Linked DNA regions of Lonchura striata. The protein of the gene in region 1 interacts with the protein of each later gene in a biochemical or structural test. Links are inferred from orthologs where the notes say so. Each region holds a gene or a part of one and is shown in the gene's direction. Other genes may lie near its edges. The genes, in order: ANXA1 and protein S100-A11-like.

The links.
Region 2: the proteins of ANXA1 (region 1) and protein S100-A11-like form a complex in vitro, tested with the Homo sapiens proteins (2 studies listed by BioGRID). The link is inferred for Lonchura striata from reciprocal best matches to the Homo sapiens genes ANXA1 and S100A11.

The regions. Positions count from the first base shown.
Region 1 is NC_134642.1:70,460,027-70,469,142, reverse strand, and holds the start of ANXA1 (annexin A1), read left to right. Parts: upstream 1-5,497; 5' UTR 5,498-5,590; intron 5,591-9,063; 5' UTR 9,064-9,077; coding exon 9,078-9,116. UniProt on the Homo sapiens protein: Plays important roles in the innate immune response as effector of glucocorticoid-mediated responses and regulator of the inflammatory process. Has anti-inflammatory activity.
Region 2 is NC_134635.1:3,538,529-3,547,093, forward strand, and holds protein S100-A11-like, read left to right. Parts: upstream 1-4,776; 5' UTR 4,777-4,886; coding exon 4,887-4,889; intron 4,890-6,906; coding exon 6,907-7,044; intron 7,045-8,178; coding exon 8,179-8,331; 3' UTR 8,332-8,447; downstream 8,448-8,565. Other genes in the region: TCHH (trichohyalin), read left to right, coding at 1-2,087. UniProt on the Homo sapiens protein: Facilitates the differentiation and the cornification of keratinocytes.

The DNA.
Region 1 (9,116 bases):
AAAATACATTTTCAAATGAAATACTTCAGTTTAGATTTTTCACTATCAACACTTTAGTATTGTGTAGATTTGAGAGAAAGGTACATGAAAAGTTCTATTTTTTCTGAGGTTAAACTATTCTAATGTTCCATAGAAGCAAACAAGTTTTGCAATCACTGACTAATTGTGAATTAGTTGTCTCCTAATTTTGGCAGGTAAGCTGCTGAGTGAAATAGTAATAGCCAAGCAGTCTCCCAAAACTTCTAAGCACAAACCACCCTCACTGTTATGGGAACAAGATGTTACACGAGTGAATGGAATGCATAGTTTCCTGAGGTTTTTATGACTGTTCTTACCCCACCTTCAATGTACACAATAAGCAAAACATGATTTACTATTATGCACTTATTATGTAATTCTTGTTTCTTCATCGTAGTGGGACCCAAGTCAGGGCGATGCCACTCAGAAAAAAAATATGACCTTGACTGAAGTGATTCGGAAGATTCAGAGCATGGCACTTGCTCCTCATTGTAGACAGGGAATAAAATATGTTTTATTGTTTAACCTCGACATTTTTTGTTAATAGATCCACTCACTGGTATGTATTTCAACAGCAACCAATGGAGCACAGTTTGCTAAGAATGTTTTTATAAATATTTATAATATTAATTTACTTTAAAAGAAAAAATGGTGCAAGAAATGGCAGCAGATGTAAAGTTACTTCAAGGAATCAATTTCAGAATGCCGAATAAACTGGGAAATCCCAGATGGATATATTTAACCTGCATATTGCAGTACCACAGGTGGTTGATCTGCTGATTAATTTTTTGCTAATTAGTATTGTCTCTTCTTTCTTTGAAGTCACAACAACTTAATTGTGCAGCAGGGTTTTGTCTCTTGTAAAGCAGAGGACTGCTCATCCTGCTGCTTGGTTTCCCTAGAAGAGAAAGCCCAGTTCCCTTCCTCCTAAAATCAGTTGTGACATACCACCAACTCTCTGGTTTTGGTTTTTTTGTCGGGGAAGATGTTTGGACATTTTCTCCATTAAGGGCACTGACATTTCCACAGCTTTTATGCACAGTAGAATTGTTTAAATTCACTTATGTTCCCTGGACCTGAATGACTCTTCTGTCATTATTTGCACCCTCAGATTAGCATTGTACACTGCATAGGACTGTAAAAAGCTTATGCATTCCCACTTTTCCTTGTCCCCTTAGCACTTTCCCCTGAATGTTCACTGAGCTTTACCTTCCACTGTAATTTACTATTTCTGTCAGAACTTTATCATCAAACAGGTCTGTTTCACTCTACTGTGATTTGCATGAAGATACGTGTAACAAAGTCTTCCAATGTTTTTTTCCCAGAGGCTTCCTAGAAGGTCTACATTTTCCTCATATAAATTACTTTGGCACACAGTTATAGGGGTTTTTGTCTAGAAGACTATCTGAGATATTGAAAAGCTTCTGGAAGCATTTCTCTGAACTTGAGTTAATTTAAACTGAATAGGATTTCTACTCTCCAAAATGATGTTGCCTTGACATGATTTCTCATGTGGTTACTCTGCTTGTTTCTATGAGAGGATAGGCTATTTTTATTTCTCTGTGTAGGGGGCTGCTCATAAAAATTTTGTGTGTTCTGGATAGCCAAGCCATGTTTAACCATAAGACTCAGAATATCCCATTACACTTCTAAAAATTTAGGAAACTGCAAAGAAGTATTTACTGCAACTAAGAGAGCAGTAAGTATTAAAGTTGGTTATAGAAACAGATGTGTGTTTGATTAAACCATGGAATTCCTGCTGCCTGAGAATTATTGCTAATTTAGTATTTCATGAGGCAATAACAAAATGCAAATCCATGTTAAAAGACAGAGGTGTTAAATATTTTATGCAGTGTAAATAAAATGAATACTTGTTAGAAGATGCCTCAAAAATATTTATGATTTGTTTTGCATCAGTATCAACAAATGCATGTTGCCCAATCTTTTCCCTATTTACAAGCTTGCAAAGAGGTTCAGAACTGAAACATGATTTGAATGGAAAATACAATAGAAATAAACTTTTAACAGATAATCCATAAGAGATATTATGCAGTTTTGAATGTCTTATTGTGTCTAATTAATATTTTTTTGCTTAAGCATGAAACTAAAAAAAGAAATTGCATATCTAGATTTGAATCCATCCAGCCCATAATATAGGATCACAGGGATATACATAATCACAACCTAAATGGGCTCTAGATGGACCTCACTAGAACCATGCAGATCACGTGCAAATTAATAGATAGTGTAGCTGTTCTCATTGAATTTGATATTTAATCTCTTGTGTGTGTCAAAGGAAGAGATGAAGGTCTGAGGTGGCCCTGTATCTCAATATGCAGAAAGATATTTTTCTGAATAATGTAACTGAGACACACTTCCTAAAATAGGATTTGTACAGGAATATGTAGCAAAAACACTGCATGATCTCTGGAATGTCTTCTTGGGAGCATTACTGCCTTCAGTAGGCCTGCTGTAAGTCATACATACTCTTAGATCTGTATCTTTGATATTAATGTCTCTGTTGCCTGTAACCTGTGTAGAGATGCTACGCTGCAGGTCCTGGGTGCCTAAGGAAGCCAAGTAATGTGTTTCTCCTCAGGTTTTTAGGAAGTCTATAAAAGCTAAGGTGCCAAAGATCAGAGAGGCAGATTCCCAGTGGCTCTGGATTGCTATCAGACGGTTCAAAATGGATGGCTGTCATGGCATGAAACAGGCAGAGCTCTGTTTTATGATTTATTGCCTGACCATACTGTCAGTAGCTCCCTCAGGCTAATGCTATTTCATAACAATGTGAGCATCAATTTTCTCTTAAAGTTTATCTCATAGGCAGTCTGAAGGTCATTTGTAAAATGTGGTAGACTCATCATTTCCTAAATTTCTGCAACCTTAACTCTTCTTTAAGGCACCTAGGGTGGAATAAACACAGAGTTACAGCAGGTTGGTAGCAGCCTCAGAAACAGATGTAAGGGCTGCTGCTCTCGCTCTCGAACGCCATGAAAATTCCTGACTCACTTTCCTATCATTTTGTGTAGGATGGATTGCTTAGGGAAATCCCATCTTCCCAAATGAGCTGAGTCATTACTAGCCTTAAGAGAAATATTTGGCGTGGCCAAATCTGGCAGTTTATCAAGTTACCATTTTTCTTTTCTATATTCACTGAACATTTCTGTTTTTCTCTGTTGCATTCCATGCATTGAGTGTTGTAAACAAACATATTTATTTTTGTCACTTTTGAGACATTTGAACCTCTACAACAGTGGCTATATGCTTTGCCTCTTCTGAAAAAATTATGACAACTCAACAATAAACAGTATGCAAACTGTGATAGCTTTATGAAACAAATGACATAGTAAGAGTTAAAAACTTAATAAAAAACAATTGTTAAGAGCTCCATCCAAATGCAAAACTGCATTTTTTTAAGTGGCAGCATTTTGTACAATAAAGCACTCTAGTGCTGATGGTGACTCAGCTGAGGTCCAGGAAGACAGTGAGTCAACCAGCATCTGTCCACCCATTAAGGAGGAAAAGCAAATGCAACAGCTTCTTCAATGACTATTAGTACAAGTTGTACTTTCCTGTGATATCACTCTGAAGGTGGAACCATTGGCCTGAAAGACAATACAATTATATTTTAAAAAGCCCAAAAACCAAAAGTAAAAAATACCATGATAAAAATGGGGTAGGAATATGATTATGAAAAAACTATATTAGAAAAAAGTCAACATGGAGGAGTGTCTTACTATGCACTTCTAGTACACTGATTCCTACCCTTAGCTATGCTCATTAATAGACAGGGGAAACAGCTCCAGAAAAAGAGTAAAAGTAGAGGTTCTGGCCAACACCTAAGCCAACTGAAATAAGACTGCTAGTGTCATTCTGAAATGGAATTTGGGTGGGCTCAAGTAGTCTGTACATCACACATCATAATTAAATAAACAAATCTACATACATCTGATAGCTTGCTCACTGTATCCTTGTCAGCTTCAATTATTCAGTTTACTGGAAACATCTGAAATACTTTTGTCAAATGATAAATGTACAGAGGGAAGGGAAATAGCAAAGCATAGGAGAAAATTGCTCTCAGAGAGTCAGGGGGACTGGGGACTCCCTGGGGGCTAGAAGTGTTCCCATGGGGCTCAGCAGGCAGGACCTGGAAGCCCTCCTATCCCATCACCCCAGCCAGCAGCAAAAGACGTGGAGTTGGCACTGTAGGCAGCCCCAGCTTCAAGCATTTGACACCTCTCTGGGGATGGGAATGTGACAGACCATCAGCACATAGGCTGGGTCCCACTTTCAGTCCCAGCCCTCTGCAAGGCAGCAGGGCAGTAGCTCAAGTGGGGAATGAGGGCTGAGGCTGCCGTATCCTTAGCACTCCTGGAGGCTCTCTCAGGCTTCTGGGATGGGGACCTCCTTGAATGTGATGAGCAGATTACTCTGAGCAGCACATATTTGGGTGTACAGAGAAAGATGTAAGTTATGCAAGAACATGCATGTCTGTTATTTTGCATTTGAGAAATTTGTGAGCATTCCATCTAATAATTACCATCAGTCTGTTCCTCTTCCTCTTCATACAATTAATTGCTAGACATGGGCTTCAAGGAGAGACTGCATTTCATGTGTGTTCATGTGGGGCAGATCAGCCATATTGGAGGTACCTGTGCATTGCAGTCAGTCAGCAGGAGGAGGATGAAAGTCTGCTGGGACCCCATCTGCCCATTGCAAACACTTCTGGTTCAGCAACAGGTATTTCTTCACTGGGCACCATGCTCCAGGCCAATCTGAGGTGTTAGTGATGGCGTTGTGCTGTGCTGGCTTGGCAAGGAAGTGCTTGCAGAAAACCTTCTAGCAGATAGGCCCTCATCTTGTGCAAATCACTCTCGCTTTGAACTTCAGAGTTTAATCTGATTGTTTCAATTTATTTCTAATTATGTAGGTGCCAATTATTGCCCTTGTATTAAGTCTGCTTTTTCTATGAGTTTGTTTCCAAGAAAAAAAAAGTTATTTACATGAAATACATGTTTTATTCCTGAGTTATTTCTGCCATGGACCCACATTCAAAAGCTGCAGAGCTGATAGCCACCGGATCTCAGTGAAGTGAGGATGCTGCCTTGACTCTTCACCCTTTCTTCTCCCTAAGTTTCACTGAGCAAAGATATATCTTAATACAGTCACTTTTGAAATTATATCAAACATAAATATGTGAAGAGAATTACCCATTTTTTTTTCTTAAGATATAATTGTCTGATACCAAAATATTTATGGCAATTTATTAAAACTGAGGGTGTGGTCAGGGCAGGAGTGCTACCATGGCCTGCTCATTTGTTGTCTTTTCCCTTCTGAAAGCTGCTCATACTTTCGCCAGCACATAGTTTCGCAATGACTTTTTTTTTTTTCCTAATGTTTTTAGACTTTGGGTGGCACCCAGATATAGCTGCTGCAGATGATTACTAGGGCTGTGGAAACACTGGTTGCTGGGTGGAGTTTCCTGCACAGGCTACAAAAGCTTTGAGAGCCCTCTGCTCCTTTGCTTCTGACTGTGCAGGCCAGCAAAACGGTGCTAGTGAGGAGAAAGGTAGGATTTTGTAGTTCATTATTGCTCTCTGTAGACCCAGCACTTTAGGAATTGTATGCTGAATTTGTCAAATGACCTGGTGTAAACTTTCTGTGGGTTGGACTTTTATTGTCAGGGAAAAATATGGGTGCAGGTAGGAGAAATTCTTTCTATTCTAGAACATTTTACATAAGGGCTAGGGAAATTACTGCTTTTATTTAATGCAATGAAATAAAATACGGTTAAAACTTCAAAAGCAAACTTACTTGTAGTAGACCATTTCATTTGCTTTATCTTTGCCTTTTTAGTAGGCTGCTGTAGAAATCTGTAGTAAAACCGGAGTTCCTAGAAAACAATGCTGTGTATGTAAACTTAAAAAATAGCAGCAGCTGTTGTTAGTTCAACAACAGTTTGCTGCACTATGACTGTAGAGCAATCATTGTTCATGAAAGTGATGAGAATCAAATATCTTAGAAATCAAATTAGAAATCAAATGTAGAAATCATCCCATGTTTTAGAAACGTAAGACAAAATCTTGCTTTTCTGACTAAGAACTTGGCAAAGCCATGTAAAAGCTGTGTCATCTGGGGTTCTTGCTGCTTTCCTTTTCCAGACTTTTACAAGGATGAGATTGTTTTTTTCTTTGATGTTTCCAAATTCAGAGACTTTCTACTGCAAAGTAAATTACTGTATTAGATCTCCTGCCTGTTTTTCTGACTGACATGACTGTAATTTACATCAAGATCCTGGTATTCAGCGTTTGAAAGTAGCCAGGCATTTGACATGCTTCATGATATGGTTAAATAAGCATAGATAAATGCTGTCATTTGACACAGATTATAGAGTAAAAATCTAGTTGTGTCTTTAAATATTTTTAATAAAGTATTTTCTCAAAATCCTAAACATTTTTGATTGGTCCTTTTCAAGGGTGCATCTTCAAGGGATTAAGAGCCAGACAGAAAGCAAAATTGTGGTGATTTTTGTGAAACAACCGTTAGGGCTTTCAGTCTGGATGTATGTCTGATTTTTCAATCCTGTTGTGATGTTGATCATTCCAACAGGGAATCAGTTGCTTCAGTCCTTTTCATAATATATTGAAGTGCTATTTGGACTGAATGTATCCCTCCTGGATTTAGGTATTGTTAACAAGATCTCTTTACATTTTATAGTGGCAGGACAAAGTATTGGCAAGATCTTGTCTCCATCAGGGGGCTGGCTTTCTAGATGCCAGCCTTCTTTTTACTTATCAGCTGTAGTTTCTTCCAAAGCAGAAGACTTTTATATTAAGTTGGTTTCTTACCTTACAAAGCTAATTCAAGAAGACTAAGGTCTTCAGCTCCCTCCAAGGGCTGTTGACTACTTTGACTTATATTAAAATTGCATTTTTTCTTTACTAGATGGAAATAGATGGATCTGCATGCCAGCGTCTCTATTTCAAAAGAAAAGGAAAAAAAAAAAAAAAAAAGAACTTTAAAAAGTTTTTAAGGCACAGACTTTTTTTCTTACTGTATCATTTAAGCCAGAAAAGACATGAAGCTTTAGAGGCTTAATAAAACCAGTTTAGTATAGTCTAGTAGCCTTCTGCTCTAGCCAACCCCAAAAGCATGGGAACCTTTAGATCTTGGTGTCATGGGTGCATGTAGCAATATGTAGAAGAAAGGGATGTGCTTCCTGAAGGTAGCTCTCCCTGAAGAATATTACTTTATCAGGCAAAACACATGTCTTCTCAGATCTGGTGCTGGGAGATTGAATCTTTTTTCATAGTTTGAAGTGGTTCTCTGCTCTGTGAATCAGTTAGTCAGCAGACATACCAGGACATGCCAGCACTGATGACTCAGTGTTCCCAGTATGGAGACTTTCAAGTGTTTCCGTCCCGCTGCATATGGCCTTCATGTGTGCTGTTACAAAATGCAGCAGAATTTTGGGTACCATACTGCTTCATCTGCCACTGTTAACTTCGGTCAGTAGAAGGATGCAGAAGTCACTCTGACAGCCTGAGCAAAGTGCAGGTTGCAGTTGTGCTGTGAGCATGCTTTTCTGATCCTGAATAAATAGCAGGTCATAAAAGTAGATCTTTAAATCTGACTGAATATTCTGTTCATTACTTGCCCATTTGAGACTTACTGTAAATAACATATTAATCCCGATTTTAAATCAGTTTCAGCTTTTCTGGCAGCACTAAATTCCTTCCTGAGGGAAGGAAACAAAAGCAAGAGATTTTTGAGGAAGAGGGAATATGGCTAGCTCTTACCTTGGAGAGAGCTGCTGGCAGCCTGTGTGAGGTATTTATTTGTCACTTTTTTGACTGCTGAGTGCAGAAGGAAGCTTTACAGTTTAGCTGTGAGGGGAAGAAAGAGCTGGGCTGCAGCTACACTCCTTGGTTCACAACTTCAAAGTCAAAAGGCTGGTCTCTACCCTTCCTATAGGACAGAGGGGATGTGTTAGCAGCATAACTAACATGATTTTTTAAAATTGTGTATATGATCTGTACTCCAAGACTGCAAAAAGAATTTTGTCTCTTAACACCAGTTTCAAAATCAGTCTTGTTTACTCAGTAGCACTATCTCTAGTTATTGCTTACACATCTGCTTTAAAACCAAGTCCTCCCTAGACCTTGCTGAGGAGGAGTGTTAAAAAAATAAGTTTGAATAACTTGAATAAAAAAATCTAGTTTGAATAATTTTATTTGATAAACTATTTATTTCTTCTTTCTATTTCCTCACTATTTCAGTTAACAAACAGAATATTCCCCACACCAACAACAGAAGTTGTTATGAAGCAACCTGTTAATTATTTTTGAGTACTTAATGTTACATCACTTCTCATTTTTTCCTTTTCTGCATAATGACTTTTGGGAAAGATGGGTGGACTTTCTTTCTTAGTGGTAAAAAGCAAAACTTGTTTTTATTTCCTCTTCTTAAATTGGTAATGTTTTATTATTATTATGCAGAAATTGTAGAAAAAGCAATGTATACAAAACTATCCAGATTTACTCATCTTCCTTAGAAAATGTCTAGTCAAAGAAATTACACGAAAGTATATTAACAAGGGAATTTCTTTTTTCCTAACATAATACACAAGATCTCCACTGTCAGTAAATGATGAGACAAGAACCCTTGTTTACAAGGGAACTTCAAAATGATCAAACTAAATGGGCATAGATGATAGATTAGCTAATTGGTTTCTAGTAACTTGCCTTTGTAAGTAAATGCTAATGTATTGCTGTAAGAACATACATAGTACTACTGCTGTTCTTATCTAAAACTTCTGAAAGTAGCTAAGAGTGTAGGGGTGAGCAAGCAGCCGTGAAGCATCACATCACTCATAAAACATCAAAGTTGCTTGCCTCCAATAGTACAGGCCAGTTACCATGGGGACATTAACCACAACATGTCATCGTGCTAGATAAGTGATTTTGAAGGTAGAAAATCTAAAGTTGCACTGCTGCTCAAAATGATGGAAAATTGTTTGTAACTTGATACATCTCTTCCCAGAAACTCGTGTCACCATGGCTATGGTATCAGAATTCCTGAAGCAGGCATGGTTC
Region 2 (8,565 bases), on another chromosome or scaffold:
CAGCAGAAGCCGATGTCAGAGTGCGCCGCGAGATCCGGGAACGAGGTGAGGAGCTGAGAAGGAGAGAACGTCCCTGTGAGGGTGAGGAGGAAGAGAGGAGAATTTCCCAGGTCAGAGACAGGGAAGAGCCCCTGAGGAAAGGGAGAATCGACCGTGAACAGGAGCTGGATGTGTCTGAGCGTCGGACACGGGAAAGGGAGGAAGAAGTGGCCACCATTAATCTGAGAGAGACACGGGAGAGACGAGAGCGAGAAATTCGTGACCTTGATGATGATGGAAGGAGAAGACAAGAAGTGTATGACAGGAGAAGAGAGATCTCAGTGGCAGCAGCAGAAGCCGATGTCAGAGTGCAACGTGAGATCCAGGAACGAGGTGAGGAGCTGAGAAGGAGAGAACGTCCCCGTGAGTGTGAAGAGAGGAGAATCTGCCCCAGAAGAGACAGGGAAGAGCCCCTGAGGAAAGGGAGAATCGACCGTGAACGGGATCTGGAGGTGTCTGAGAGCCGGACACGGGAAAGGGAGGAAGAAGTGGCCACAGTTGGCCTGAGAGAGACACGGGAGAGACGAGAGCGAGAAATTCGTGAGCTTGATGATGGAAGAAGACAAGAAGTGTATGACCGGAGAAGAGAGATCTCAGTGGCAGCAGCAGAAGCCGATGTCAGAGTGCGCCGTGAGATCCGGGAACGAGGTGAGGAGCTGAGAAGGAGAGAACGTCCCCGTGAGGGTGAGGAGAGGAGAATCTGCCCCAGAAGAGACAGGGAAGAGCCCCTGAGGAAAGGGAGAACCGACCATGAACAGGATCTGGAGGTGTCTGAGAGCCGGACACGGGAAAGGGAGGAAGAAGTGGCCGCCATTAACCTGAGAGAGACACGGGAGAGACGAGAGCGAGAAATTCGTGAGCTTGATGATGATGGAAGGAGAAGACAAGAAGTGTATGACAGGAGAAGAGAGATCTCAGTGGCAGCAGCAGAAGCCGACGTCAGAGTGCGCCGCGAGATCCGGGAACGAGGTGAGGAGCTGAGAAGGAGAGAACGTCCCTGTGAGGGTGAGGAGGAAGCAGAGCCAGGGAGGAGAATCTCCCGGGTCAGAGAGAGGGAAGAGGCCCTGAGGGAGAGGAGAATCGACCGGGAGCGGGAGCTGGAGCTGGAGCTGGAGCTGGAGGCCTCTGAGTGCCGCAGCCGCCAGCCACGGGCCAGGGCGGCCGAAGTGACCATCACTGACCAGAGGGAGGCACGTGAGGAGATCCGGCTGGACGTGCTGGAGGAAGAAGAGGAGGAGGAGCTGGAGCAGGGCCGGTGCCGCTACCAGACCCTGGACGTGGATTTGGGTGATCCCTGCCCCCTGGGGCAGGAGGTGCCCGTCAGTGACCTCAGGGTCCGCTACCTCCCCGCTGAGCCCGAGCTCCGGCCCGATGTCCGGCCGCTCCCCGAGCCCGTGGAGCCTCAGACCGTCGCCTACCTGGTGCACGTGATCCAGAACCTGGAGGACCCCAAGGCCACCACCTACGAGATCGTGTGCCACCAGCCCGGCCAGCGGGGCCGGCCCGTGCGCATCCGGACCTGCTCCGTGTCCCCGCGGCCACCCACTGACCGCAGGGGCCACCCCGAGGCGCTGCCACCCGAATGCCAGGACAACCCCGAGGCTCCGGATGAGCCCCGGGAAAAATCCGGGAATGAGGTGAAGGACGGAGCCCTCCGGGATTCCGCCGAGCCGGAGGCTGGGAAAGGCGAGCGGGTGAAATCCAAGGAGACCCGGAGGCGCCCCGAGATCCCCGAGGTGGAGCAGGGCCAGCCCCAGGGTGAGGGACCCCAGAAGGTCCCGCGGGAGCCCGGAGCCGGCTGCCAGCGGAGAGAGCGCCAGGACAGCGAGGCCAAGAGCTGCGTCCCCCCGGAACGTCGGGATGCGGAGCGGAGAGACCCCGGGGAGACGCGCAGAGAGGGAGGCCAGGAGGGTGAGGAGGCTCCTGAGGAGGAGCCCAGCAAGAGGAGCCCCCGGGAATCCGGCAGCTCCCAGGTTCCTCGGGAAGGTGGCACCAAGCAGGGCCAGGAGGCCCCGAGCCGCCCCAGGGATGAATCCAAGACATCCTGAGGAGAATCTGCCTCTCCCTGGAGCCTCTCCGGTCCTTTTGAGGGTCACTTCTGCGCCCATTGCCAGCTGGGGATGCGGTGGCCCGGCAGGGATGGACTCAAAAGGATCCCGGGGTGTCCAGTGGGGTCTGGGGGCTTTTCCCTGGAATGAATCCTCAGCAGGAAGCAAGATCCCCGCAGATCCGGAGATTCTGCCTCCCTGTTGAGTGTGTCCCTCGATATTTAATCACTTTTTCTGCTCTGATTGGAGTCCTTGGGTGCCTCTGTCCTCTTTTGCACCCTGGGGTGTCACTTCAGGTCTCCCCGGCCCCAGGGCTGGGGCTGCTCTCGGCTTCTGCCGTGAAACTCAAAGAAAATTCCTGATTTTGGGGTCTAGAAATCCTCGAGGCTGGGGAAAAAAATCACCTTTTTAGCCTCGATTCCAGCAGAATTCCAGCTCCAGGCCCGGGGGTTTGGGGTTCACAGGGTGCTGGTGGTGGGTGGGGGATTCTCCTTCTTCTCCTTTTCCTTTTCCTTCCTTTTTGTCGCATGGAAAATGGGAATAAACAACTGATTCCTGCAGAAGCTCTGAGCATCACCTTCCGGAGGGCTGGGAGGGCTGGGAGGGGGGCCCAGCTCGGATCAGGCAATCCCAGTTGGGATCAGACATTCCCAGTTGGGATCAGACGTTCCCAGTTGAGATCAGGAATTCCCAGTTGAGATCAGGCATTCCCAGTTGAGATCAGGAATTCCCAGTTGGGATCAGACGTTCCCAGTTGGGATCAGACATTCCCAGTTGGGATCAGACATTCCCAGTTGGGATCAGGAATTCCCAGTTGGGATCAGACATTCCCAGTTGGGATCAGGCATTCCCGGTTGGGATCAGACATTCCCAGTTGGGATCAGGAATTCCCAGTTGGTATCAGGCGTTCCCAGTTAGGATCAGACATTCCCAGTTGGGATCAGACATTCCCAGTTGGGATCAAGCATTCCCAGTTCAGCCCCCAAACTCCTCCTAATCCCAAATCCTGATCCCAATCCAAACCCAATCCCACTCCCAAATCCCGCTCCAGGCCGGAGCCAGGGGCTCTCCCAGGGCTCTGTCCCCATGTTGTCCCCAAGTGATGGGGACGGGGACAGGGACAGGGACAGAGGGACAGGGACAGGGACAGGGGGACAGGGACAGAGGGACAGGGACAGGGACAGGGACAGGGGGATAGGGACACAGGGACAGGGACAGGGACAAGGACAGGGACAGAGGGACAGGGACAGAGGGACAGGGACAGAGGGACAGGGACAGGGACAGGGACAGACGGACAGGGACGGGGACAGGGACAGGGATGGGGACAGAGGGACAGGGACAGGGACAGAGGGACAGGGACAGGGGGACAGGGACAGATGGACAGGGACGGGGACAGGGACAGTGGGGATGGGGGCAGAGGGACAGGGACAGGGACAGAGGGACAGGGACAGGGACAGGGACAGAGGGACAGGGGCAGGGACACAGGGACAGGGACAGGGACAGGGACAGAGGGACAGGGGCAGGGACAGGGACAGAGGGACAGGGGCAGGGACACAGGGACAGGGACAGGGACAGGGACAGGGACAGAGGGACAGGGGCAGGGACAGAGGGACAGGGACAGGGGGACAGGGAGACAGGGACAGGAGAGGGACAGGGACAGAAAGAGGAACAGGAACAGACACGGCTCGGTGACGGTGACAGGCATGGGGCCAGGGACAGGAACAGGAACTGGGACAGTGCCAATGCCAGTGCCAGTGCCAGGGGCAGGGCCAGTGGCACAGCTCGGTGACAATGCCAACGGCAGGAACAGTGACTCTGGCAGGGACAGAACAGTGACACTGGCACAGCTCGGTGACAATGCCAGGGACGGGAACAGTGACACTGGCAGGGCTCGGTGGCAGTGCCAGGGCCAGTGGCACAGCTCGGTGACAATGCCAGGGACAGGAACAGGAACAGTGACACTGGCAGGGACAGAACAGTGACACTGGCAGAGCTCAGTGACAATGCCAGGGACAGGAACAGGAACAGTGACACTGGCAGGGACAGAACAGTGACACTGGCACAGCTCGGTGACAATGCCAGGGACGGGAACAGTGACACTGGCAGGGACAGAACAGTGACACTGGCACAGCTCGGTGACAATGCCAGGGACAGGACAGTGACACTGGCACAGCTCGGTGGCAGTGCCAGGGACAGTGACACAGGAAAAGGGAAATTCCCTTTGGGAAAGGTGGCTTGGGGGAAAATCCCAATATTCAGGAAAAATGGGAGTTTGGGGGCAGGAAACTGAGGGGAAAAGGAAAAATCTCCCAAGTCCCAGAGGAATTCCCGGGATCCCAACACTCATCCTGCTCCCCGGTGTTTAACCCCTCTCTGTTCCAGACAGCCCCAGAGATTTTTGGGATTTTCCCCTTTTTCCTGCTCCAGGCTCCCCCTGAATATTTTGGGATTTCCCCTTCTCCTGCTCCAGGCTCTCCGGGAAGATTTTTGAGGAAATTTCCCCCCTTTTTTTCCCCAACCTCCCCGTTAAGATTTTTGGGATTTTTCCCCCGCTCCCCTGGCCGAGGACGACCCCAGGGATATCCCGGGACGGAGCAGGATTTGGGAATGCCCGCACAGCCCCGGAGCCGGGCCGGGCACATTCCGGAGGCTCGGGAGGAGCCGCGGTTGCCGCTGGAAACGGGAATTGCTCAACGCGGCCGGCGCTGACTCAGCCCGGGCGGGGCTCCCGAACTTTCCCCGAGCTTTTTTCCCGATCCTACAATTCCAGAGCGGAGCGGAGCCGCCGCTGTCCCAGCCATGGTGAGGAATTCCCGGGAATTTGCGGGGGGAAACGGACCCGGAGCGGGGAAAAGGAGGTTTTCCCGCAAAATGCCTCAAAATCGGAGCGGGACGGAGGCGGGGATGGTCCCAAGGGGTGGAATTTCCAGGGAAAAGGGAAAAGGGTCCGGCAGGTGTGGGAGAGGTGATTCCAGAGGGGGAAGGGGAGGGGAAAGGAGATTTTCGCACAAAACGACCCAAAATTGGAGCGGGGAGGGGTTAGGGCGTGGTCCCAAGGGGAAAACGGCGGGGAAGAAACGGAAAAACGGAAAAAAACCGGGGGAAAACAGTGAAAAAACGGGGGAAACGGGGAAAAAACCGGGGGGAAACGAGGGGGAAATGGGGGCGGGAACGGGGGGAAAACCGGGGCAGAAATCGGGTGGAAAATGGGAAAAAGCAGAGAAAACCAGGAAAAAACAGGGGGAAAAAACAGAGAAAAAGGGGGAAATGGATGAAAACCAGGGAAAAACCGGGGGAAAAAACAGAGAAAACGGGAAAATGGATGAAAACCAGGGAAAAACCGGGGTGGGTTGGGGAGAAATGGGGGGAAACTGGGGAAGAACGGGATTATCTCCCAAAAACGCGCCTCAGCCGGAGGCCGGATCCGGCCCGGCCCTTCCCACCCCGCGGGATCCGCCGCCTCCCCGGGGATTTTCCAGGAGCCGCTCCCGCTCCGCTTCCCGCTGTGCCAAGGAGCGAAATCCAGGGAAAAATGCGGCCGAACGGGTCTGGCTGAGCCCTTCCCACATCCCCAAAAAACCGGGATCCTCCTCCAGCCTTTCCCACATCCCCAAAAAACCGGGATCCTCCTCCAGCCCTTCCCACATCCCCAAAAAACCGGGATCCTCCTCCAGCCCTTCCCTCATCCCCAAAAAAACCGGGATCCTCCTCCAGCCCTTCCCACATCCCCAAAAAACCGGGATCCTCCTCCAGCCCTTCCCTCATCCCCAAAAAACCGGGATCCTCCTCCAGCCCTTCCCTCATCCCCAAAAAACCGGGATCCTCCTCCAGCCCTTCCCTCATCCCCAAAAAACCGGGATCCTCCTCCAGCCCTTCCCACATCCCCAAAAAACCGGGATTGCTCCTGGAACACCTGGAAGGGGCAGGGAGCCTTTCCCTGCTCCCAAAAAACCCCAGGATTTCTCCCTGGAACACCCGAAATGGGCACAGGAGGTGTTTCCCTGCTCCCCGGAAATTCGGGATTGCTCCTTGGCACACCTGGAGTGGGAAGGGAGGATCCTCTAGCCGTTCCCCCATCCAAAAAAAAAACGGGATTAGGGGGCCTTTCCCTGCTCCCAAAAGACCTGGAATCGCTCCTGGAATGGGCAGAGGAGGCTCCTCCAGCCCTTCCCTCATCCCAAAAACACCGGGATTGCTCCTGGAATGGGCACAGGGGTCCCACCCTCCCTCATCCCCAAATCCCGGGATTACCCTGGCACACCTGGGATGGGCACAGGGATCCCTGCACCCCCAAATCCCGGGATTGCCCTGGCACAGCTGGGATGGGCACAGGGATCCCTGCACCCCCAAATCCCGGGATTGCCCTGGCACAGTGGGATGGGCACAGGGATCCCTGCACCCCCAAATCCCGGGATTGCCCTGGCACAGCTGGGATGGGCACAGGGATCCCTGCACCCCCAAATCCCGGGATTGCCCTGGCACAGTGGGATGGGCACAGGATTCCCTGCACCCCCAAATCCCGGGATTGCCCTGGCACAGTGGGATGGGCACAGGGATCCCTGCACCCCCAAATCCCGGGATTGCCCTGGCACAGTGGGATGGGCACAGGGATCCCTGCACCCCCAAATCCCGGGATTGCCCTGGCACAGTGGGATGGGCACAGGGATCCCTGCACCCCCAAATCCCGGGATTGCCCTGGCACAGCCGGGATGGGCACAGGATTCCCTGCACCCCCAAATCCCGGGATTGCCCTGGCACAGTGGGATGGGCACAGGATTCCCTGCCCTCCCTCACCCCGAATCCCGGGATTTGCCCGCAGCCCACGGAGACGGAGCGCTGCATCGAGTCGCTGCTGGCCGTGTTCCAGCGCTACGCCGGCCGCGAGGGCAGCTCCGTCACCCTCTCCAAGCGGGAATTCCGCGCCTTCATGGACACCGAGCTGGCCGCCTTCACCAAGGTCCGGGAACGCGGGCTGGGATCCTCGGGATCCACGGGATGGGGCGGGATCAGTGGGATCAGTGGGATCCGTGAGATTGGAATGGGATCCATGGGGTGGGATGGGATCCATGGGGTGGGGTGGGATCAGTGGGATTGGGATGGGATCCATGGGATTTGGATGGGATCCATGGGATTGGGATGGGATCCATGGGATGGAGTGGGATCAGTGGGATCCATGGGATCTGTGGGATTGGGATGGGATGCATGGGATTAGGATGGGATCCATGGGATTGGGATGGGATCCATGGGATGGGGTGGGATCAGCGGGATCCATGGGATCTGTCGATTGGGATGGGATGCATGGGATTTGGATGGGATCCATGGGATTGGGATGGGATCCATAGGATGGGGTGGGATCAGTGGGATCCATGGGATTTGGATGGGATCCATGGGATTGGGATGGGATCCATGGGATGGGGCGGGATCAGTGGGATCCATGGGATCTGTGGGATTGGGATGGGATGCATGGGATTAGGATGGGATCCATGGGATTGGGATGGGATCCATGGGATGGGGTGGGATCAGTGGGATCCATGGGATCTGTCGATTGGGATGGGATGCATGGGATTAGGATGGGATCAATGGAATTGGAATGGGGATAGCATCAATGGGATCCATGGTATTGGGATGGGATCAGTGGGTTTGGGACGGGATCAATGGAACTGGAATGGGATCAATGGGATCCATGGGATTGGGATGGGATCAGTGGGTTTGGGACAGGATCAATGGGATGAAGGGGATGGGGTGGGATGAATGGAATCCGTGGATTGGGGGGGGGGGTGGGATTGGATCAAGGGGATCCATGGGATCAATGGAATGGGATGGGATTGGATCAAGGGGATCCATGGGATCAATGGAATGGGATGGGAACGATGGGATGGGATCAATGGGATGAGATGATCCGGGGGCTCCCGGCCCTGGGGATGTGCCGGGATGGGATCTGGAGCGGGTTGAGGGATTGTGGGAACACCACTGACCGCGGCTGTTCAGGGATTTTCCATCCCCAACCATTCCAGGATCCCGCGAGCTCCCAGCCCTGCCTGGGCAGGGAATTCCCCTCAGCCCAGGCACCGAAATTCCCGTTTTCCTGCAGAACCAGAAGGACCCGGGCGTGGTGGACAGGATGATGAAGAAGCTGGACATGAACAGCGACGGGCAGCTGGATTTCCAGGAATTCCTGAACCTCATCGGGGGCATCGCCGTGGCCTGCCACGACTCCCTGATCCTCAAATCCCCCAACCCCTGAATCCAGAGGCGCCGGCTCCGCCCCGGATCGCCCCAGGGAATGCTGGAAGTCATGGAATGCCCCCATTCCCTTTCCCCCCCCGACTTTTTTATGGATAAATAAAAGGTTGAAGACCCCGAGTGACTCCAGGATGAGTGAGGGGGGGAAGAATCCCGAAGTGATCCTCACCCGCTCCGAATTCCAGGAATTCCCTCCAGGGATGGGATCCAACCCTCCCTGAGCCCCTTTCGCTGC